3 linked regions of the Notamacropus eugenii genome follow. The protein of the gene in region 1 interacts with the protein of each later gene in a pairwise test. Links are inferred from orthologs where the notes say so. Each region holds a gene or a part of one and is shown in the gene's direction. Other genes may lie near its edges.

What was found.
Region 2: the proteins of NDRG4 (region 1) and REEP6 interact in binary tests that used the Homo sapiens proteins (3 or more experiments, as listed by UniProt). The two-hybrid records come from large-scale screens. The link is inferred for Notamacropus eugenii from reciprocal best matches to the Homo sapiens genes NDRG4 and REEP6.
Region 3: the proteins of NDRG4 (region 1) and RABAC1 interact in binary tests that used the Homo sapiens proteins (3 or more experiments, as listed by UniProt). The two-hybrid records come from large-scale screens. The link is inferred for Notamacropus eugenii from reciprocal best matches to the Homo sapiens genes NDRG4 and RABAC1.

The regions. Positions count from the first base shown.
Region 1 is NC_092872.1:715,566,048-715,573,493, reverse strand, and holds the start of NDRG4 (protein NDRG4), read left to right. Parts: upstream 1-4,371; 5' UTR 4,372-4,408; coding exon 4,409-4,496; intron 4,497-7,446. UniProt on the Homo sapiens protein: Contributes to the maintenance of intracerebral BDNF levels within the normal range, which is necessary for the preservation of spatial learning and the resistance to neuronal cell death caused by ischemic stress.
Region 2 is NC_092875.1:62,873,893-62,881,711, forward strand, and holds the start of REEP6 (receptor expression-enhancing protein 6), read left to right. Parts: upstream 1-4,783; 5' UTR 4,784-5,027; coding exon 5,028-5,142; intron 5,143-7,819. Other genes in the region: PCSK4 (proprotein convertase subtilisin/kexin type 4), read right to left, coding at 1,381-1,869. UniProt on the Homo sapiens protein: Required for correct function and survival of retinal photoreceptors. Required for retinal development.
Region 3 is NC_092876.1:25,773,630-25,781,214, reverse strand, and holds the start of RABAC1 (prenylated Rab acceptor protein 1), read left to right. Parts: upstream 1-4,549; 5' UTR 4,550-4,707; intron 4,708-4,809; 5' UTR 4,810-4,830; coding exon 4,831-4,892; intron 4,893-5,612; coding exon 5,613-5,828; intron 5,829-6,491; coding exon 6,492-6,589; intron 6,590-7,585. UniProt on the Homo sapiens protein: General Rab protein regulator required for vesicle formation from the Golgi complex. May control vesicle docking and fusion by mediating the action of Rab GTPases to the SNARE complexes.

The DNA.
Region 1 (7,446 bases):
GGAAAGAGTAGGCACTTCCTAGTTGGAGGGTGGGGGAGTGGGGCAGAGCAAACAGGTACAATTCCCTGAAATCAGAAAAAGAGGTGTGAGGTGTCCTACTCTCCCCAAGGGTGTGTATACAATAAAGGAACACGGAAACGATAACTGATTGATCAGTTTTCAGATAATACATATGGATTGCTTGAAATGTACAATTGTAAGAAAACTCCTTGCATCAGTCTTTGGTACATCAATCTCTTTCTGATCAGCATAACCAATGTCCTTAATTAGGGGTCTCCAAGCCATAGGTAGAGGCGGTCCGGATTCTCAAACACATGGGGTTAGGTTCAAACAATGCAATAAGGTTTTCTCCCAGTTTCCACAGTTGAATAGTTTTCTCACAGTAGAGAATTTGGATCAGACCCATAACGGAATAGAAAGGGAACTGAGTTAGCTTCAGAACTGAGTCATAAGATGGAGTCAGTGTGGTTCACTCAATTTCTGCAGCTAACCACTTGCTGTCCTGATGCGCCTCGGTTCCCTCATCCTGCTCAGTATGGATCTTGTATCTTCCTATTTTTGACATTAGAATGTAAGATCCTTGAGAGCAGAGACTGGGTTGGAGTTTTTTCCTTTCTTTATAGCCCCAGTGCATCTTAATAAATGCTTGGTGATTGACTGAGTTCCCAGAGATCATGGTTTGCCCATTATTATGGGTTGCTCATATAATGGCTTGCCTGTTATGTTTAACGTAACAACGGTGGTGATAATAGCTAGTGTTTCTAAAGCTGTGGTCTACAAAGCTGTATGTTACCTTATTTGATTCTCATGACAACCCTGTGAGGTAGGTACTCTTATTATCCCTATATCACAGATGAGGAAAGCAAAGTCGAAAGAGGAGATGTGATCCCATTTGGAATTCTCTTGGTGAAGAAATTGAGTGATTTGCCATTTCCTTCTCCAGCTCATTTTACAGATGAGGAAACTGAGGCAGTCAGGGTTAAATGTCTTGCCCAGGGTCACACAACTAGTCTGAGGAAGGATTTGAACTCCCATCTTCTTGATTCCCAGATCTAGTGCTCTCTATCCACTGTGCTGCTTAGCTTTATCAGTGACAAATAAAGAATTAAATATTCTGATTATTACATTTGCAGATGACACAGAACTGGGAGGGATTCAAAGAGATGTTGTCAGATTGGAATATTGGGCTGATTCTAAGAAGACGAAACGTAATAGGAACGAATGTAAAGACTCACACGTGGGCTCACAAAAGTTAACTTCATAGAAGATGAAGGGGGCATGGCTAGACCACTAGTTGACTGTTGGGAGTTTTATCGGGTTGAAAATTCAATAGGAGTCAAGGGTATGATTATGGTAGGCAAGACAGCTCAAAGAGACTCAGGTTTCACTAAAAGAAATAGAGGGTCTGGGACTAGAGAGATGACAGTGCCATTGTACTATGCCCTACTCAGGTCCCATCTAGAGAATCACTACAGCTTGGGTGCCTCCATTTCCTCATCTGTAAAATGAGCTGGAGAAGGAAATGGCAAACCACTCCAGTATCTTTGCCAAGAAAACACCAAATGAGTCATGGAGCATTGGATACAACTGAACAACAAGAAAAGCAGAGGTTCTTAACATGGGGCCATGGAGAGATTTCAGAAGGTCTATGAACATTAATGACATTGTGAGCTCCTTGACGGCAGGGACTGTTTGACTACCATGTATAAGGAAGAATATTGCTAATTTGGAGGGGGCCCAGGAGAGAGCAGCCTTATGACGGGAGGTCTGCAGCCCATGTCATACAAAGGTGTGTTGAGAGAATTGGGAAATGTTTAGCCTGGAAAGTATATAAATGGCTATGAAATGGAAAGGGGATTGTTAGACTGTCTCAGGTCCCACGGGGCATATCCAGGAACAATGGGAGGGATTGCAAAGAGGCAAATTTGGGCTGGCTATTGGGAAAAACTGCTGACCATCCAACCTGAACATCCCAAAGAATGAGAGAGAGAGAGAGAGAGAGAGAGAGAGAGAGAGAGATTGTGTATAATAAACCCAAAGCTCTGGTTTGGGGGCAGAGGTTACAACAATACGTATCTGAGAGTTCAGGCTTTCAAGGGGGAAGTGTGTTTGAATTCTGCAAGGCATAAAGATTTTGTACTCTGAGACTCCAGCAAGGCAAAATGACATCATTATTTCTTTCCTAAGCATTCATTTTAGTAAGGCAAAAGCACTGTGCTTCCATCTATCATCCCTCTCTGTCTCCCAGGTGGAATCCCCAGAAGTCCTAAGAGGAGAATGTGGATGCATATAGCCAGATGAGAAACTGTCTAGAAGGGAAGTGGGAGGATGTATTTTTAGAGTGCACTATTTTATACCTAAGGATGCTGAGGGGCCCTCCCCAGAGGGTACCTCACAGCAGCCTGGGCGTCTGTAGCATCCTGAGAGGGAGCAGAAATGAGCCAGTGATATATCCCTGCCCTTATTTGCAGGGCATGAAAGGAGTAGAGCATGCTGGGAGGATGCCACTTAAAAAGTATCCTGGGAGGCATCCAGACACTGTAGGGAGAACAATTCCCTCCTTCAGATTGAGAGGGATGGATGTGGTGTCCCCAGGAATGGGTACAGGCACAAGGTAGATAGCCATCCTTTCAAAGGGGATGGATTATTATTAACCCACCCGCCAGGAAGCCCTGAAATACATCACTTTGTAGGACCACAATGGAGCCAGTGAGTGGGGCAGACCTATGCTGAAATCCTTTTGTAGAACCTAGAGCTCATTACTCTTCCTGACTGTCTCTTCTCCCTCTGGACTCCAGAGTCTCTGACTGGTATTATTATGGAAAAATAATATTGGTTTCCTTTTACTGATATATTTTATGCATTTGAAGATCTGATTCTGAGAAGGGGTCCCTATGCATCCCCAGATTGCCAAAGGGGTCCAGGACACAAAAAAGTCAAGAATCCCTGATCTAGTCCAGTCTTCTAATTTTATAGATGAGGAAACTGAGACTGAGGGAGATGAAATTTGAAATTTGAACCCAAATTCATTCATCTCCTGAGCTAACGTTCTTTCCACTGTACTTTTCCTCATCTCTAAAATAGTGACTTGAAATTAAGTAACATTTGATGTCCTCTTCAAGAGTTAACATTCTAGGAAATGCTGAAGAGATTCATGCCTATTTAGAATCAAGGCAAAGAATGTGAGAGGATGATTCACAAAGAAGCCAAAGGCAGGAGGATGATGGATTTAGAACTGACAAGGAACCTCAGTGGCCAACCTAGTCCATTTGTGTGACCACCGCACGTGCATACACAAACACACATCTTCATTTTACAGATGAGGAAACTGAAATTAAATGACTTACCAAAGGTCATAAGCTAAAGATAGAGGTGAGATGGACAGTGATACATATTTGTATTTGCATACGTATTTGCAAGGCATCAATAAAAATTATTTTTGAAAAGCAAAAAAATACATTTAAAATTGATACATAAAGATATGCATATCTACATAGTTTATGCATACTTATATTTACAGATTTCTATATTATGTTTAAAATATATATTCTAAATACCTATTTATGCATAATATATAAACAATAATTTGTAATATAAAATTATATATACTACATATACTAATGATTTATAATTTTTACACACACCTACATGGAGAGATTGTCTTGCAGTATCCATCCAAAAATTCAGTGTTTTAAAAATATCCTAGGATTTCCAAACCCTCGTTTATTGAAGCAGTATTCCATGCATCAAAATTCAAGTAGAATTAGAGACTTCCTCAGACTTCAATGGGATTTCCCAACTATCTTTTGAACCAAACTTGGCTCTTTCCCTTTCTCCATTTCCTGGTTCTTGAAGGAATCATAGAAGTGTTAGTAGAAAGAGTACTGTGGGTCAGGAATCAAAGGATCTCGTTTTAAATTCTGTTCTTGCTACACTTTCCCATGTGCCCTTGAGAAAGGCCCATGCCCTCTGTGGGCTTCAGTTTCCTTGTCTGTAAAATGAGGCTGTTGGACTAAAGTCACCTTCCTCAGATACCCTTCTAGCTCCAAACCTGACACTCTTCTGTATATCTGAGGAAGTGTTTCCAGAGAATTGGCCTGTTGGCCACATGGCCACCCAAGCTTCAGGGCAGCCCCCTGCCAGAGGGGTTTAAGATCCCTGGGAGTTCTGAGGCTGAAGTCCCTTCAGCCAGGCTAGAGTGAGGATAAGGCAGCCAGACACAGGTGAACTCCAAGGGTGAACAGTCCTGCATCCTCAGATGTGTTACACATAGGCTGAAAAGAGAGAAGCCAGGTCCCCCTTCCTGCTCCCAGACCAGTCACCAGACCTGCCTGTGCTTGGGTCATTTCCATGGAGACAAGAGAACCTTCGCTCAGAGGCTCTCAGTGGTCTTCTCCTGCTTAGGGCCATGGCTTCAGCCTGCTTTGGACGCCTTATTTCCCTGGGCTCTCACCGATCTGAGATGAGTAAGGGCCCCTTCCCTCTCCTGAAAAGAGGTATGACCAGGTCCTGGGCCCACTCGCTTCCCCAACCCCCCAACCAGGGATGTGATAATTAAATGGCAGTTGGTGCCTCTGAGGTCCCATCCACCTCCATATTCTTCTCCCTCTGGTTCCCATCCAGAGACTCAAGGAAAGCTCTCAGCAGTGGGCAGTGTGGCTTCTCTCCCTTCATGCCCATCCATTTCTACCATGGCGATGACCACTTTTGAGCAGGGAAATGATTTAGGGAACCTAGCCTTGTGCTCATGGGTTTTGTGTGATCCTGGGGTAGTCCCATGACCTCTCTGAACCACAGTCTCCTTATCTGCCAAAGGAGGAAAGTCCTTCCTATCCATCTAGCTCATAGGATGTACAGAGCTTGCTTTGTATGTATGTTTGCTCATTGTCTTCCCCATTAGATTGTAAGACCTCGAGGGCAGGGGCTGTCTTTTGCCTCTTTTTGCATCAGGATATCCATCCCAAATATTCAAACAGACTATCTGTGCCCAGCGTGTGATACAGCATGCCGAGCTCACGTTGGTCTGATCAGCCACAGTCGGACGCACTGAAATTTCACTTTACAATGGTGATGTCATTTTGGTCCTCTTCAAAGATGAAGGACAACAACCATCCCCAATGCTTAGCGCATGGTAGGCACTTAATAAATGTCTGTTGAATTAAGTTAAATTGAACAGGATGGTTGTGAGGAGAAAATTCAATTCAGCAAACGTTGGGCACCTACTGTGTGCTGAATGCCATGCTCACTGCAGGCAGGAGGTTGAAAACTCTCATGGAACTTAGATTCTAATGGAGAACAAAAGGAAAATGGTTTGGTAAGCAACAGGTAAATAAACCTGCAATAGACTTGCAGACTAGTAAAAATAATAGCTAGCATTTATATGCATGTCCCTTTAATCAATCAATAAACCAATAGTAAGAGCCTACTGTGTACCAGGCACTATGCTAAGTACAGGGGGATACAAAGAGACAAAAGATGATCCCTGTCCTCAAGGAACTCAGAATCTGATGGACATTTAAGGTTTCCAAGGTTCTTTACATATGTTCACCTCACTTGATTCTCCTCACAATGCTGGGAGGTAGGTACTTCTATTTCTTATCTCTCTTTTACTGATGAGGAAAACAGCAACTCAACTTCTGCCTCCAAGCTCAGCCCTCTATACACACATCATATATCCAGCTGCCTCAGTGCTTCTGCGTGAGACCTGAGGACATAGATACAATGGTTTTAGAGGCAAGAGCTGGAGAAAACCTTTCTCAATAAAGGCATGCCAGCAATCCAGCCCCTGTGGCTGTTTCCCATAGAAGAGAACCTCTGAGTAGTCATTGTGGTTCATAGCCTGTTGAACTGCTGGCCCCTGGTGGTTAGAACCGTTGGTAGTGTGAGAAACCATCCACCACCCTGGTTTGGGTGCCAGCAGTTTCTCCAGACTTCATCATCCATCAAAGTACCTTGGAGCAGAGGTGCCCACATCATCTGGGGGCACTTCAGGAGCATTCCCATCTTCCTTACTAGGAATTTTATGAGAGTACAGACCACTGCTCTGGGCAGTGAGTACTCAGGGAACATGTCCCTCTCCTTTCTCTACCAATTTGGTTCTCAGAGCTAAGTTTCTGGGGAGGCACCGAGACTGTCCAAATGGCTCACGGCTCTTAAACCCACTTCTCCAAAGGACTGTCTTTGTGTGGGATGACCAAGTGCGAGGGGAGGAGAGAGGAGATCAGAGACCTCCCTTCCTCTCACAGTCCCAGATAACTGGGATGTGAAGGAAGTTGATAACTTCATAAAGCATTTCTAGGAGAGCTGGGCATGTGAAGTCTTAACAGGGAGTCCATCCATCAATTGCCAAGCATTTAAAAATGGCGTGCTAGCTGTTTCTCCCTCATGGGCTAGTCACTTGCTAAAAATTATGGCAACTCTAACCCTCAGTTCATGCTTTGAGGCTTTTGTGGCCCTTGGGACTTGGGTTATTTCACTTAATCACTTCGTTATCATTCTGTTCTCCAGATCAGAGTGGAGTTAGTCAACAAGCCTTTGTCTGTTGGTCAGGCTCAGCGCTAAGTGCCAGATACAAAGAAAGGGAAAACAAAAAGACCATCTTTGTCCTCAAAGACCTTACCTTCTATGAAGAGAATACGTCAAACAAGGTCCATACAACGTGAATATTCTGAGTAGATGGGAAGGGAAACCAGGAGAAACTGGGACTTGAGCTGAGACCAGGAATTTAGGGGATCCTAGGCATTGGGGGTAGTCAGTGCGAAGACACAGGGTGGGAGATGGAGGGATGTGGTAAGTTGTCCGTTGTAGAGTCCATAGAGGGTCAGGTAAGCAGAATCTGCCCACATCAACCAGTTTGAGATAGTGAAGAGGAAGCCAAACTGAATGGCATCCAAAGCTACTGTTTTTGGTGTAGATGAGCAGTCATGCATGGTCCAGACAGAAGGAGAGATCAACATTGGACAGAATCCTTGGGACATCTTTATGTTGAGTGTGCCATCATCAGAGGCAGCCTGATGTAGAGAGAGCTGGTCACAAGGTCCAGTAAACCTGGGTTCTTGTCCTGCCCCAGCACATACTGGGTGCATCCTCCTGGACCAGACAATGGCAGTCTCCCATTGCCCCCCATTGACTCTAAGACTACAAAGTTGGGGAATCATTGCCAGTCTGCCCAAGTGGAGGGAGTTTCCACAAAGGAAGTGCTGTCTGCTGATGGAATTGCAGTCTGTGGGTTTCTGCAGTAATTTTCTTCTGAGAAACTCCAAGTCCTTCAATAAACTATCCTGACGTTCACCCTTATAGGGTCCCCATCAGGTGCCCACCTGCTCAACTGAATGGCCAGAGGTTAAGTCGTTTTTCTAAGGGTGAACAATTATCCTAATACATGGGTGCTAGGTAGCACCATAGTGCAGAGTGCCAAGCCTAGAGCTCAAAAGACTCATCTTCCTG
Region 2 (7,819 bases), on another chromosome or scaffold:
ATAGCCCTTTTAGGGCTAGCATTCTCACTTTGAGTGAGATACATCCCTTCAATGAACAGACTTCTTTAAGCAGTTGCTCAAGGGATGATCCCTTTAATCAAAAAAAAAAAAAAAAAGCACTGTGGCCACTTCTACTCCTTCCATTACCTTTTTTTTTTTTTTTTACCTTTTATACAATGTTATGTTTTAGTGCCAGAAAATTCCCTTCCCTCTAAATATTATCTTTTAATTTATCAGGTAGTCAAGTTGCAAGTCTTAGTATTAACAATGGAGCCTCAGTAGAGGAATAATTTTCAACCATCACTAGGGTTAAAGTAACAAAGTCTGCCAGGGCAAGGGGGAGGAGGCCCAGATTTCTCAATTACTAGCTCTGGAGCTTGAGTTCTTGCCTCTGAAGTTTACTATTAGGCAAGCTACATCCTTACCTGTGCCTCAGTTTCCTCCTCTGTGAAATTGATTTTACACTCAGTCCCTTTCAGCTCTAGCTCCATTGTTAATATCTAAATATCTAATAATCTAAAAAATGGCAATGTATAAAAGCAAAAAAAAAAAGTAGCTAACGGAAGGCATGGAAGTGGCCCCAGTTGCCAAGGGCTAGAGCTTATGGAGACAGACTCAGGAAGATGGTAGACAGCCCATGGATTTGGCAGAAGAGTCGGCAGTCCCGTTCAGCTGGAATGCAAAGTGTATAAACAAGAGTATTCACTTGGCAAAGAGGCCAGCTCCTAGCAAAACTTTTCTCCTGAGCTCCAAACTCCACCGGGGTGTCCCACAGGTACTTTAAATCCTACCTGGTCAAAACCCAGCTCCACGTATTCCTTCTCAGTCCCTCTGTCAAAGCCAGTTTCTAGCTAGGCAGCCTGGCTCCCTCCCCTCCACTCTGCTGCAGGGTAAGGCATCCTAGGTTAGGTGCAGCTTTTCTGTCAGAATTGGCTACCTAGTATCCCATTGATTTGTGAACAATTTTATCTTATCTCTCAAAATTATCGGAGGTCAGGGATTGGGTTTCCCCCCCCAGTGAGTACATGTTATCCCCCTAAGTCAGTACCTTTTAAAAATTCATTTGTTGCAAAGCAAGGGCCCAGCACAGAGCTGAATGGCTTAATAACTTGTTTACTGAGAATGAGAAAGTATAATGGTGTCGGGAGGAATCTGTGCCAGTGTTGGGGGGAGGGGGTAGCCAGGGAGGATCAGAGTACGTATGGAGAGGGCAGTACAATGGCTGAATGCTGGGGGATGGGGAGGAGACTGTGCCTGGGGGTGGGGGTGGAGTGAGAAGGCTTGAGAAGCTCCCACCTGAAGGCCAGGAGGGGTGAAGAAGGTGGCATCCATGCCCTTGGCAGAACCCAGAGCCCTAGAGAGGCTGCCCGGGTGTCCTACCTGCCCCAAATTGACAAAGCCGAACTTTCGGGCCAAGCGCTCGGCCTCCTGGCTGCCTCCAGGCAGCAGCACAGCCCAACTGCTAACATAGATGGGGACCGCTGAGAAGTGGCCCCCTCGACGCCGGCCGCGACCCCGGCCGGTCACTAGTTCTTGTCTGGGCTTCTCTGGGGAGATGGAGACTAGAACCCGGGTTAAGGCCAGGGCTAGGACCAAGGTCGGAAATAGGGTCCGAACCAACCTCAGCCGGGTCCAGCCCAGCCCCATGGTAGTCGGGGGCCGGGGGAAGCCCCTTCCACCGGACAAACAGTCTCTAGGGTCCCGGGGGGCGTTGTTTAAATGCCCCCTCCTCCCACCCCCACCCCCCGGCAAGAATGGAGTAGCCCCGACCCCTGGGAACCAGAGTGAAGCAACCCCCGATCCCTGGACGCCTCTTCTCGGCTCCATGGCAACCCCTTCCCCCCACCCCCGGGGGGGGGGGGGCTTCATTCCCAGGGGGCCATGCGACCACCTAACTGTATACGGCCGGGGATCGGGTTGGGAAACCGGCCCCCGGTGCCTTGGGGAGTGGGGGAGGACTACCGGGAGAAGGAGACACCCCAGGGGAGTGGGAACAGGATAGGACCTTCTCTCTTCTAGTTCCCTCTTCCATCCTCATTCTTAACCTGGAGAACCAGGTTCGACTTCTGATTTCATCAGTCTCGCTGTGTAACCTTGGGCCAGTCATGCCCCACTTTTGACTCTCAGTAGTCTTCTGTGTAAAGAGAAGGTTACACTAGATCAGGGTTGGGGAAACTGCGGCTTCAAGGCCACATGTGACCCTCCACGTCTTCAAGTGTGGCCCTTTAACTGAATCCAAACTTCACCGAACAAATCCCCTTAATAAAAGTAGGTTCCCCACCCTGGCACTAGATTCGATCTCTAAGTCAGAAAAGGTCTTTCCAGAGAGCATTTAATTAGTGGCAAAGAGGGTGGCCTGAGGCTAATTATGGGCTTTCTCTGATTTGAGTTGATTCAGTCATTCAGTAGCAACTGCTAGAGTTTTCTATAGTACTTTACAGTATACCCTGCAAATACTGAAATCCCCATTTTAAAGAGGAACAAAGTGTGGCACGGAGAAGGGAACTGAACTGACTTGTCCAAAGTCACACTGCTTTGCTAGTCAATCGGTTAGTCCATAAATGTGCCAGATACTGGGTGCTAAGAGCTGGCATTGTAAAGAAAGTCAAATGTTCTCCAAGGACTTACAATCTAATTGTATGGGGAAACACCACGAAGATAACTTCGTATAAACAAGCTGTATTCAGGATAAATCTGAGATAATCAACAAAGGGAAAGCACTAGAATTTAGTGCCATGGAGAAAGGCTTCCTGTAAAGGGTGGGATTTTTAGCAAGAGGCAGAGCTGGAATTTGACTGTTTCTGCTCTAATAATTTCATCTAATCATGTCCTAAGTCCTATACATTGATCTTGTCCATCTCTAGCTTCATCATGGCTCCTACCCTAATTCGGACCACTGGATGGTCCAGCTGAACTGCCCTATTTGCTTGTTAATTTCCTTGTACAATCTTTTGTTTTGATGTTTGTACTGGCTGTGCCCTCCCTCCTATCTGAGGTATTTCTACCCTCCCCCCTACCATGGAACTAGGGTTCCTCCCCTAGCCCGTAACCTTGGATTTATAATGTGTATATTTTGTATGTATTTTCATTTGTGTCTTTATGTCCCTGGCATAGTGTCTGGCACGTAGTAGATGTTATAAATTCTTCTGACTGATTGATTCATCACTTCTAGCCTAACTGATCTCCCTGTCCACCCTCCCTTCTCCAATTTATCTTATACTAAAAGCCAAGATAATCCATCTATCTAGGGTCCAAATTTGACCATATCACTCCCTTGCTAAAAATAACCTTCAGGAGGCAACTAGGTGGCTCAGTGGAGTGAGCACTGGCCCTGAAAGTCAGGAGAACCTAAGTTCAAATGCAGCCTCAGACACTTGCTAGCTGTGTGACCCTGAGCAAGTCACTTAACCCCATTGCCTAAAATAATAAATAAATAAAATTTAAAAATAACAACCCCAAACCTTCAGTGGTTCCCTATTGCCTATACGCTAACATACAAATTTCTCAGTCTCCATAATCTGCCTCCAACCTACCTTTCCAAATTCATTTTTACATTCTATCACTCCTCTTTAGGAGCTCTATATTCCAGGTAAACTGTCCTGTTGTTTTCTCAAACTCAAAGAGCTACTATCTCCCTGGACTGGCTCCAGTTCTTTCCATTCCCCACCCCCCATAACTGGAATGCATTTCCTCCCCATCTCTGCTTCTCAGAATTTTTGCCCTACTTCAATGAAGTACTAGATTTAACTTCCAAGGTAACCTTTCCACTGAATTTTATTGCCCAACAAAATAGGGCACCACTCCCTTTCTTGTATCATTTTTATAATAAAGATAAAAACAAGTATTTACTACAGAATGCTTTAAAATTGACAAGAAGCTTTGAACATATTATCTCATTTGGTTTTTCACAACAACCCTATGAGCTAGTTCTATTAGTATTCGAATTTTACAGACAAAGAAACTGAGACTGAAGGAAATTAAGTGACTTGCCCAGGGTCACACAACTTGGTAAGTGTACATGTATCTTCTATTACTTTAGAACACAAGCTCCTTGTGGGCAGGAATTGTATACTTTTTATTTGTGTGTCCCTGACCTTCAGAACTGAGCACTGTGCCATACACAGAGGCATTTAATCTTTGTTGAATGAACTAGGTCTTTAGTTTCCAAATTCAGGGTTCTTTCCACTACATCACATTGCGTTCCCAAACATTTATTGAACTCCTGCTGTGTGCAGAATACTAAGTGGAACTTCTTCATGGGATGTCAAGAGGGAGGAAAAATTTGGAATGTAAAATGGACCAGGGTGGAGGCTGGGGGGTGGGGAGAAGCATAAGACTGGTTCACCGGGGTACTTCGGCTCCAGGTGTGGGAGTAATGAGTTTGGAAGCCCAAGGATTAGTTAGGAAGGAGAGGGAGAGGGAAAGGAGAGGTGGGGAGGAGCCTAGACTGGCTGGGGTCTGGGAGTGGGAGGGACGTTAACTTACCTAGGAGACCTGGCACTTGTGGACCTTGAGGGGGCCCATAAATAAAGAACTGGGCCTTCCTGGTCTCCCCTGGGTCTCCCCTAGCCTCTCGCCTACCTGTCTCCTCCGCGTCCCAGTTCTCTCCCAGGCCCAGCCCCCTCTTTTCTCTCCCGCCTAGCTCACAGGTGGGTGGCTCGGGGCACTCGGTGCGAGGAGGGGCAGGAACGGGTTGGGAGAAAAGTCCCGCCTCCTTTGTCCGTTCCGCGTTCTCATTGGCCAGTGTGGGCAGGGTGGGCCGACCGAGGCCCCGCCTCGATTTTCCGTCCAATCCTATAGTCAGGGGGCGGATTCAGGTCGTCCCCAGCAGTTGCAGGACCACGAGGTGGGAGGGAGGGAAGGAAGGGGAGGGACCGGGGGACCGGAGGAGTGGAGGTACTGGGAGCCTGGAGAGGGAGACACCACCAGCACCGCTGCAGAGCAGCGGGGAAGCCCTGGAGGTCGCCCCTTGGACCCGGGTCCAGTCATCCTCCGTCCCCTCTCCTCCCCCCTCGGTCCCAGGAGCCATGGGTAGCTTGAAGCAGCGCTTCCAGAGGTTCCTGGAGCAGAAAAACTTTGTCACCGATGTCCTGGGCAAGCTGGAGGAAGTCACCGGGGTCAGAAAGTACTACATGGCTACAGGTAAGGACCTCCGGGCCCCCTCCTCCAGATAAAACCTTGGGCGCTCAGAGATCCTCTGGCCATAGAAACTTAGAGTTAAGAAATCGAAAAGCTGCATCTCATTCCCCATATTGTAGATGAAGAAGCCAATGCCCAGTGAGATAAGGGGAATTCCCTAGGTTGTTCAGAAAAGACCAGAACCCGAACCTCTTAGTTCCTGGTAGGGCTCTTTATGGAAATTGTTGTACTTGCTACCCTTGGTAATTCATATTCTCTGTCCTCTCTCCACCACCTTTAATTAACTGGCTTGAAATGTCATGGGTTGGGGGTTGATCTGCTATCATCCCACAGCGGCAGCTGGAAAAGTTCCAGCATCACCCCTGGATTGCAGTCCCTCCCAAGGGGGCAAGTAGGTAGGGGAAGATTCCCTCGTATTTATAGGAGTTGTAGCTTGAAGAGCCCTATTCTGGTGCTCAGGACCCCAAATCACACAACTGTAGAATAACCTTGGAACACGGAACCACAGAATTGGGAAATGATCTAGGGCCATCTAGTGTAGCTCTCTCTGTTAATGGAGGGGGAAACCAACCCTTGCCTAAAGTCACACAAAGGCCAGAAAGAATGGGGGAGGGGACAGTATAGTGCCTGAGGCTAAAGCAGCTTAGCTCGGGTAAAGGAGGACCTGAGAGGTGGGGCCAGTACTACCAATAACTAGCCTGTCTGGTCCTAATGGAGCAGATCAGCCTCCTAGGGACACTTTACTTCCAGGACTTTTAGGCAGTCAGGTCTAGTTCTCTGTTCTCAGGACCCTTCTAGGAGTTTTCCTGGGCCCATCTGGGAAACCCTGCTTGGTGGGGACGAGTATCATATCATCTTGCCCTTTGATATCCCCCAGCTCTTGGACTTTGAGAGTGCTGTGCCAGGCACATTCTGAGAGAGGCCATGTTGAAAGTCTGACTTGGGCACCCAGAGGTCTACTGAGCCTGGGTCCAGGCTCTCTCCCTTTTTGGGGCCCTCTTCGAAGGAGATCCCCAGATTATCTGTTTCTGGTCCTTCCAGTTGCTTGGTCTGCTCTGGGGCAAGGGGGAGGAGGTGGCTGGCTTCGTGGGACAGAGCACAGAATGGTTGTGCTGCCTTTGTGCAAGGCCCTGGCAGACAGCCCTAGGGGCCAAAGCCCAGCCTGGGAGGCTGGGCCAGGGAGTTCAAGTTTAATCTCTGACAACCCACCCTATGTCTCAAGGCTGATTCCAGGGGTGATTCCAGTTCATACCAACTTCGGGGAGCACTTCCAATATTCTCTCCCTCCTGGTGCTTCAGATACTTAGCATATTCCTGACACTGCTTTCAATTGAATTTGTAAAGCTCTCAGTTGAGCTTCTCTGTAAGTAGCAGAGTAGAGATGAGGCCTGGAGTAAGAAGACCTGAATTTGAATGTGACCTCAAATACTTACTGTGTGACCTTGGGCAAGTCATTTAACCTCTGTCTGCCTCAGTTCCCTCATCTGTAAAATGGAGATCTTAACAGCACCTCTCTGCCAAAGTAGTTGTGAGGATTGAAGTCGATAACATTTGTAAAATTTAGAACTATATAAATTCTAGCTACTTGTTACATGTCAGTTGATAGATTGTTAGAGCCAGAAGAGACTCCCATTCAGGGTTTTCTTGACAAAGATAGTGAAGTAGTTTGCCATTTCCTTCTCCAGCTCATTTTCCAGGTGAGGAAACAGTATTAAGGCAGGCAGACAGTATTATGTGACTTGCCCTGGGTCATACAGCTAGTAAATGTCTGAGGTCAAGTTTGAACTCAAGTCTTCCTGACTCTAGGCTCACTGTGCCACCTAGCTGCCCAAGAAGAGACCATATTAGCTTGCATTCACTTACCTCTCTGTACAGGTTTCTTCCTCTAGTAGGATGTAAGTTCTTAGAGGGCAGGTTGTTGAATTAAATGGAATATGCCTTCTCCTCCCCATCTCCCCAGTTTTCAGAGGAGAAAACTGAGACCCAGGAAAGTGAAATATCTTGTTCATGATTACCCAGCTCCCTCAGATGATGATGATCAAGGTATAGTGGCTAGAGCACTGCACTTGCAATCAGGAAGACCCGGCTGCAGTTGCTGGCTCTGCTAGTTGTTAGTAGAGGTCAGCTGTGGTCAGCTCACCTCTCCGAGAGTCTTTTTCTATAAAATGGGGGTAATAACTGCACCCACTTTACTGAGTTGTAGGGCTCAAATGAGATATAACAAGTAAGTAAAGGCACTTGGAAACCTTGTTCAATATAGAAAGGTTTTTAAAGTGCTTTATTATACTTACTATTTCCTATTCAAACTTTAACCTGCAGTGAGGCAGATAGTATTATTATCATCCCCATTTTACAGATGAGGAAACTGAAACTCAGACTGTGGTCACCCAGTTAGCAAGTGGCAGAGGGGGCATTCGAACACAGATCTTATTCGCTCCAAGCCCTACCGCTCCTCAGTACCCCAAAATACTGAGGTCAACTTAACTCCCCTTAGAGATGAGAAAACTGGAGCCCACAGAGCAGAGGTGATTTGTGCAAGGTCCTACCCTCAGTCAGCAGGACAATTGTGCAGAATTCTCATTATCTCATTCCCCACAGAAGCTGTTTGAAATTATGTCTTTCTTCAAGCCTCCTAAACTCTCCCCTCCCCAACCTCTTAGCTGAAGATCTTTTCTTCTCT
Region 3 (7,585 bases), on another chromosome or scaffold:
TTCATTCTCTTACTGTAAGATCTTTGCCTCCTTGGGAGATTTCTCTCTCTCTCCTAAGGAAGAGTTCCCCCTGCACATGTAACCAGGACCCTGAATAAAGCCTAACCCTTGTTCGACTCCGGAAAGTCTCTTCTCTCATACGTTTATCCGGTTTGGCCAGCCGAAGACCTGCAATAGGTAAGGTAAGACTCGGGTAGCCCTCAGGCCTCTAGGCCTGGCATAGTTCCATATCCTGTGACTCACAACATGTATTGAGTGTCTGAATACTAAGGCTCCGAGGTACCACAGGGGCCACAATGCAATACATGCAGGGGTGTGCTGGGGGCAGCTCGTTCTGGCTCTGACAGCTGATTATTATTTTTTCAGCATGAATACTGACACCTTGGAAATCAGAAAATGCTACAAAGCAGGGCTGGATTCACTGTTTTGTGGATTGTTCAGACTTAAGAAAGTGATGAACAAGACGTTAATGGTGAAGGCTAAATGTAAATGTGTGTTCTGAGTATATTTTTTTCAGTCAGTTGTTCAACATTTATCACCATGCACCCCTGTCAATGGACCAATGCTAAGGCTCCTACAATGTTCCGTTATTATTATTTTGTCAATATATACATCAGATTGCCAGAAATTATGTTTCCAATTATTTCCTGAGGTCCAGGACTACTGCTTCCAAAGCATACCGTGTGTCAGCCATAGCCACCTTCATGTACCTGTGGAGTCCTGGGAAACCAGAGAAGACCTCTCCAGATAGACTGCCAGATCTGGAGTCAGGAAGACTCCTCTTCCTAGCTGTGTGGCCCCGGGCAAGTCATTGCACCCTGTTTGCTTCAGTTTCCTCATCTGTAAAATGAGCTGGAGAAGGAAATGGCAAACTACTCTAAAATCTCTGCCAAGAAAACCCCAAAAGGGTCTATGAAAAACAGGAAATGACTGAAGAACACAGGCCTCTCTTGCCTTTACCCATTTATAAGCACGTGTGTGCTTTACAGTTTGAAATCCTATGACTACCACTCTCCCAAGAGAAGGGATGAGGTTCTTTCCAACTGGAGGAGGAGGAGATTTCTAGTCTCTTTCATTCTTTGGGTTCTCTTCAAGCTTTGGGTCTTTTTGACCTTCTCCATCCCCTTGGGCACTTCTAGTTTCTAGCTTTGATGCCAACCCCACTTCAGGATGAAGGAAAAGCCTTGGGAGAAGCCAGCATAAGAAAGGGAAGTCTCCATTGTGGCCCTGTCCCCACCTTGCCCCACTAGAGACTTTGGGGAGTTTTCCCCATGGTGAGATCTAGGACTCTCTCTCCTTTCAGCTGTTACCCCGCTCCAATGGGAGAGTTCCTTCCCTCTGTACTGTTGGGTGTAGATTCTCCCACATAGACATTCTCTGATGTGATTTTCTATCCACTCGGATAGAGATGGGTCTCTTTGCTACTTCCAGTGTGTGTTCATTGTGGACCTGGCATTTGATGGAAAAGGAGTCAAGTCTTGGATACAAACCTTGGGGTCCCACTCTCCCCCGATAATGAGAGAGCCATCAGAAGTTAGACAGCCCCTGACAATCACATTCCCTAGATGACAAGACTGAAGGAGCAGATAGAGAAGTCCAGCCTGGTACCCTCTCTCCGAGGAGAGCAGAGTGGTCAGCCTCTGGCCTTACCCTCTTGCTTCTCCCCTTATCCTCTCTCCACATCCCCACAAGAATGGGGAGGAAAAGCTAGAGATGCCTATTTTTAGAGCCACCACCCAGACACACTCAGGCTACACGTGGAGGACAGCCCTTGCCACCACACCAGGGCCTCTCCACACTACCCTGGAATCAGTTCGACTACCCTACTCCTAAGGACTACAACTCCCGCAATCCCAACGATCCAAGACCTCGTCCATTTCTTGGACCTCAGTACTACAACTCTAACAATGCCCTCTGCCTGAGGGCTACAACCTACCCTACAGCTCCCACAATTCCAACAACCTAAGGCGTGTCCATTTCTTGGGCCTAAGGACTACAGCTCCCACAATGCCCTGCTCCTTCAGACACTGGAACTACAACTGTCATATTATCCTAGATCCACTTCCCCTTAGTCGTGAGGGCTTATGGAAAACTATGACAAAACTTGGTTGCCCAGAGAAGTTTATCAATATAGTACATCAATTTCATGATGGCATGTTTGCTCGGGTTCTGGATAATGGACAAAGCTCTTGTGCCTTCCCGGTCACTAATGGAGTGAAATAGGACTGTGTGCTTGCTCTCATGCTTTTTGGCATGATGTTTTCAGCCATGTTGACAAATGCTTCCAATGAGGATGAACACGGCATCAAGGTCAACTACCATACTGATGGTAAGTTCTTCAATTTGAAAAGGCTACAAGCCAAGACCAAAGTGGAGGGAATGTTGGTGCATGATTTTCTGTTTGCAGATGACTGTGCACTCAGTGCAGCCTCTGAAGCTGAGATGCAACAAAGTATGGATCAATTCTCTGCTGCCTGTGCTCATTTTGGACTAATAATTAACACCAAGAAAACACAGGTGCTCCATCAGCCACCACCACACCATCCATACATGGAACCATCAATTTCAACAAATGGAGAAGTTTTGAATGTTGTAGATAAGTTCACTTACCTTCGTAATGTACTTTCCAGGGATGTACATAATGACAATGAGGTTGAGGCATGCATTACCAGAGCTAGCTCAGTGTTTGGGAGGCTCCAAAGAAAAGCTTGGGAGAGAAGAGTATTAGACTGACTACCAAACTGAAGGTCTACAGAGCTGTTGTGCTGACTGACCTCATTGTTACAATGCTTGTGAAACATGAACAGTCTACCAGCACCATGCCAGGAAACTGAATCGCTTCCACTTGAACTGTCTTAGGAGGATTCTGAGGATCACCTGGCAGGATAAGGTACCAGATACTGGAGTCCTTGCTCGAGCTGAACTGCCAAGTATTCAAACTACGCTTCAGAGAGCACAACTCTAAGGGGCTGGCTACATTGTTCAAATGCAAAATGTACACTTGCCAAAAAGATTACTTTATGAAGAACTCGCATGAGGCAGGCGATCACATGATGGGCAGAAGAAATGATATAAGGACACTCTCAAGGTCTCTCTCAAGAACTTTGGATTTGATTGTGCAACATGGGAGACACTGGCACAGGACCGCTCAACATGGTGTGCCCACTTAAGAAAAAGTGCTGTGTTCTTTAAGCAAAGCAGAATTGAAACAGCACAAAGTAAATGTAGGATGCTCAAATCTGAGACATCCACCCCAAAATTTACACGGACTATCTGTGCCCAACCTGTGGTAGAGCATTTCGAACTCATATTGGTCTGATCAGCCACAGTCAGACATACTGAAATTTCACTTTATCATAGTGATATCATTTTGGTTCTTTTGAAAGATGAAGGGCAACAACCAAAGATCCACTTCCCCAAAGTCACCTTAAGGATCAGAGTGTGTGTGTGTGTGTGTGTGTGTGTGTGTGTGTGTGTTTGTCCTTCGTTGCCAAAGAAAACCATGCCATAATGACATGACTTGCACTTGACTTTGTTTTGAGTGAAGGAGGGTTGTGCAGGTCACCAGCATCACTTCTCCTCCAGAGCCATCTGAATCCAGTGACCAGATATTCATCAGGATGACTGGAGATGACCCAGGATGAGGCAGTTGGGGCTAAGTGACTTGCCCAAGGTCACACAGCTAGTGAGTGTCAAGTGTCTGAGGTGAGATTTGAACTTAGGTCCTCTTGACTCCTGCACTGGTGCTCTATCCACTGCACCACCCTATACCAATCAGATCAAAGAACGTTCCTTTCTTTGCAGGAACTTTGCATCTATGTTGTTTTAGTATCTGGATAAAAGTGCGAAATTCAAAACCAGTCAGAACATTTCAAAATAGTCAAATGTCTGAATCTGGAAAAAAGTAGGCAAATGAATTGAATTCTTGCAGATTTTTTGCCTTGAGTAGCTACAGATGTTACTTAAAGGTTACTTTGCTATGTGTTTAACTAGTTTGGACATTTATGAATAGTTTTACAATTGAATGTGTTACCCTGATCAGTGACAAGTAGTCGGAAATGGAGTCATCCTTCCTTGGCAACATCAATAAATACCTCTGAAGAGGAATCTTTTCTGGACCCAAAGCCTTCAGAAGATTTTTGGCTATCTAAGACCTACAAAAAAGTCCCAAAATATAATAAGATGTCTTCTATTTTCCTCTTTTAATCATTTTTATGAAGGAGGAATCTAGGGATCCAAAGAAGGAATCGAGGCCAATGAGATCTTCAGTACTCAACTTTCCAATTCCTTGTCATTTCAACTAACTTGGTTAGAACCTAATGAATACCTCCTTTACACTCTCTTTTGCAATTCCTAATCACTTGGTAGCTGTACCTAACTTCCCTCACCAGTTCTCACTAACTGAAACTCCCTCTACCTATGTAAGTTGGCACATTCTCTGTAATTTATAGTCCTAGAGAGTTAGGATCAAAGGACCAGAGAGAGCCCCAAAGAACGCCTACCAAGCCCTCCCCCGCTCCGAACTACAACTCCCATGATGCCTTGCTCCCACGCCTCTCCTTCTGGTAGGCCAGAATCCGGCGCAGAAGAGCCCGAGTTCCCTCCACAGCCCTCGGACTACGACTCCCAGCAGCCTCCTGGCCACGACAAACGGTCCCGCAGCCACTTCAGATCCGGAGGCGGCGGCGGCGGCGGCAGCAGCAGGGGGTGAGTTAGAGGGGCCCGGGCCGGGAGGATGCGGAGGGGCGTGCGCCCGGGGGGGTGCCTCCTGGAGGCAGCAACAAGGCTCTCCCTGCTCTCCCCCCACAGCCGTAGGAGCAGCTGGAGAAGATGGCGGCGGGAAGCGACTTTAACCCCGGGACTGAGGAGGAGAGTCCGGGGCTCAGTGCCAAGTGAGCTGGGACCCCAGGACTGTGGGCCCCCATGCCCCGGCACCCAGGGGTCCGGACCCCCGCCCTCCAGGAACCAAGAATTCAGACGCCCAGTGCCGTCCCTCCCCCAACCCTGCATGAGTCCGGACCCCCATCCTTACCCCCTTATCCAGCGGTCCAGACCCCCATCCCATGCTCTGGGACCCAGGAATTCAGATGCCCAGTCTCACACCTCCTTCCTCAACCCTACAAGAGCTCAGCCCACCCCCTGGGACCCAGAAAGTGCTGTCAGCCCCACCCCAAGACATAGGAATTTGGACCCCCATTCTCACCTCCCAGGCACCTCGCTGTCCCAGCACCCAATATCCTAACCTCCCAAAGTCCTCTCTGGGACCCTGGCGTTCAGACCCCCAGTCCGTGCCCCAGTGGTGGCACTGTCCTCTCTAGCCCTACCTCCTTCTCTGGTGTCCAGATCCCTAGCCGTACCCCGTGGTTCCCTGGGGAACCCTAGTGCCTTGACTAGTGTCCGACTCCTATCGGAGACCCAGCTGTCTTGACTCCTCATGCCCAGCTCCTGGCAGCGGGACTCAGGCATCCTGATGTCCCAGTTCTGCCCCCTTCGGGCATCCTTCTTCCTTCATCCCCTCGACGTGCGCCTCGGGACTCGTGTCCTGGTCCCGCACCTCCTGCTGCACTTTGGGACCTTATCCCCTACCGAGCCACTTTCCTTGTCTGCGCTAGGACACTGCTGCCCAAGTTGATGCCGGCGGGCTCAGCCGGCCGGGAGTGGCTGGAGCAGCGCCGGGCCACCATCAGACCCTGGGGCCCTTTCCTGGACCAGCGGCGCTTCTCGAAGCCTCGAAACCTGGGCGAGCTGTGCCAGCGCCTGGTGCGCAACGTCGAGCATTACCAGAGCAATTACGTCTTCGTCTTCCTGGGCCTCATCCTGTACTGCGTGTGAGCCCCGCTCCTCCCCAAGACCAAGCCACCGGGCCGATACTGGTCCCTAAGATACATACTGGGTGTGAGCCCCGCTGCTCCCCAAGACCTAGCCACCACTGGCCCCTAGAATACATACTGGGTGTGAGCCCCGCTCCTCCCCAAGACCTAGCCACCGGGCCGAAACTAGCCCCTAGGATACATACTGGGTGTGAGCCCGGCTCCTCCCCAAGACCTAGCCACTGGCCGAAACTGGCCCCTAGGATACATACTGGGTGTGAGCCCCGCTGCTCCCCAAGACCTAGCCACCACTGGCCCCTAGAATACATACTGGGTGTGAGCCCCGCTCCTCCCCAAGACCTAGCCACCACTGGTCTGTCAGATACGTACTGGGTATAGGCCCGCCCCGTGGCGCAGACTTAAGGAGAAGCCCCTGGCCCCTGTGACACAGAGGTGCAAACCTGCCTTCAGGAAGCAAACTCGGTTGAGACCCCCACCTCCCCCAGGGCGTAAACTTATTGAGAAGTCTGCTCGATTAGCTGGGAGCCCCGCCCCAAGGCGCCTCCTCTGTAAGCTGTAAACTCCGCCCTCTGGTCAGGGTCCCAGCCTGTGACCCTGGCCCTCCACCAGGCCAGTGCTGTCTCCAGGCAGTCTCTGAGTCTCTACCCACTGCCCCCACAGGGTCTCGTCCCCCATGCTCTTGGTGGCCTTGGCTGTCTTCTTCGGAGCCTGTTACATCCTCTACCTTCGCACCTTGCAGTCCAAGCTGGTCCTCTTTGGTGAGGCTTGCCCCCGCATTCCCCAGGGAGAGGGCATTGGATTTTGAACCCCATCTCTTGTCTCTTTATCCAGAACCTGCCCCAGGGCCTTCTTGGATAAAGGAGGCAGTTGGGCCATAAGGCTCAGAAAGCTGGCCTCCCTGATCCATTGTCCCAGGTGTTCCAATAGCCACACCTAAGCATCCAGCTTCCCTCCCACCCAGGGAATGAGGAGAGGCCTGAAAGGGCCCTTAGGGACCTTCTAGGCCAGAACTCATTACTGGCCAACTCTGAACTGCCCCTCTCCCCTCTGGAATCTTCAGGAGAAGAAAACTGAGGTCTTTGTGCCCAGCCTCGTGCCATCTAGGAATGCTAGATGTAGGGTCAGGAAGACCAGAATTCAAATCCTGCTTCAGACACTTATTACCTCTGACCTGTGACCAGGCTTCTGTAAAATGAGGGGTTACCTCACCCCGTGCTCTCTTTGGCTCTACAGTTCTCTTGTTCAATCCTCCTCCCCAGAGTAGGAGCTCCCCTGCGAAGTCCCCCCCCCCCCCAGGCTGGGGAACCTATCCCTCTCATTGACAGATCAGATCTCTGAGGGAGCTCAATGGCCTTGGGGGCTACCTAGAAGGAGATGCCTGTGACCTGGTCCTTGAAGGACAGATTGTTCCCTGGGCTGTCTGGGAAGACTTCTCTGCAGGGGGGATTATTGCTAATGGACCTTGATGAAACTCCCAGAAGAAAAGAGATTCCCCTTGGGGGAGGGGAGTTGGTGAGGAGTTCCTGGAATTTGGCCTTGAAATACAAGGCAGGGAATAAATTTTTAAAAATCCAAGGAAAAGCTTGGAGAAAAGAGTCCCCTAGGGGCCTCTGGATGGCCTGCCACAAGGGAGGTGGGAAGCACTGTAGGAGAAGGGACTTCTGCCTCTCTGGATGTCTTCCACAGAAGGTAAGGATTGTTATGGTAGGAATTCCTCTTTGTGTATGGACTAGATTAAGGTTCCACCTCGCCCA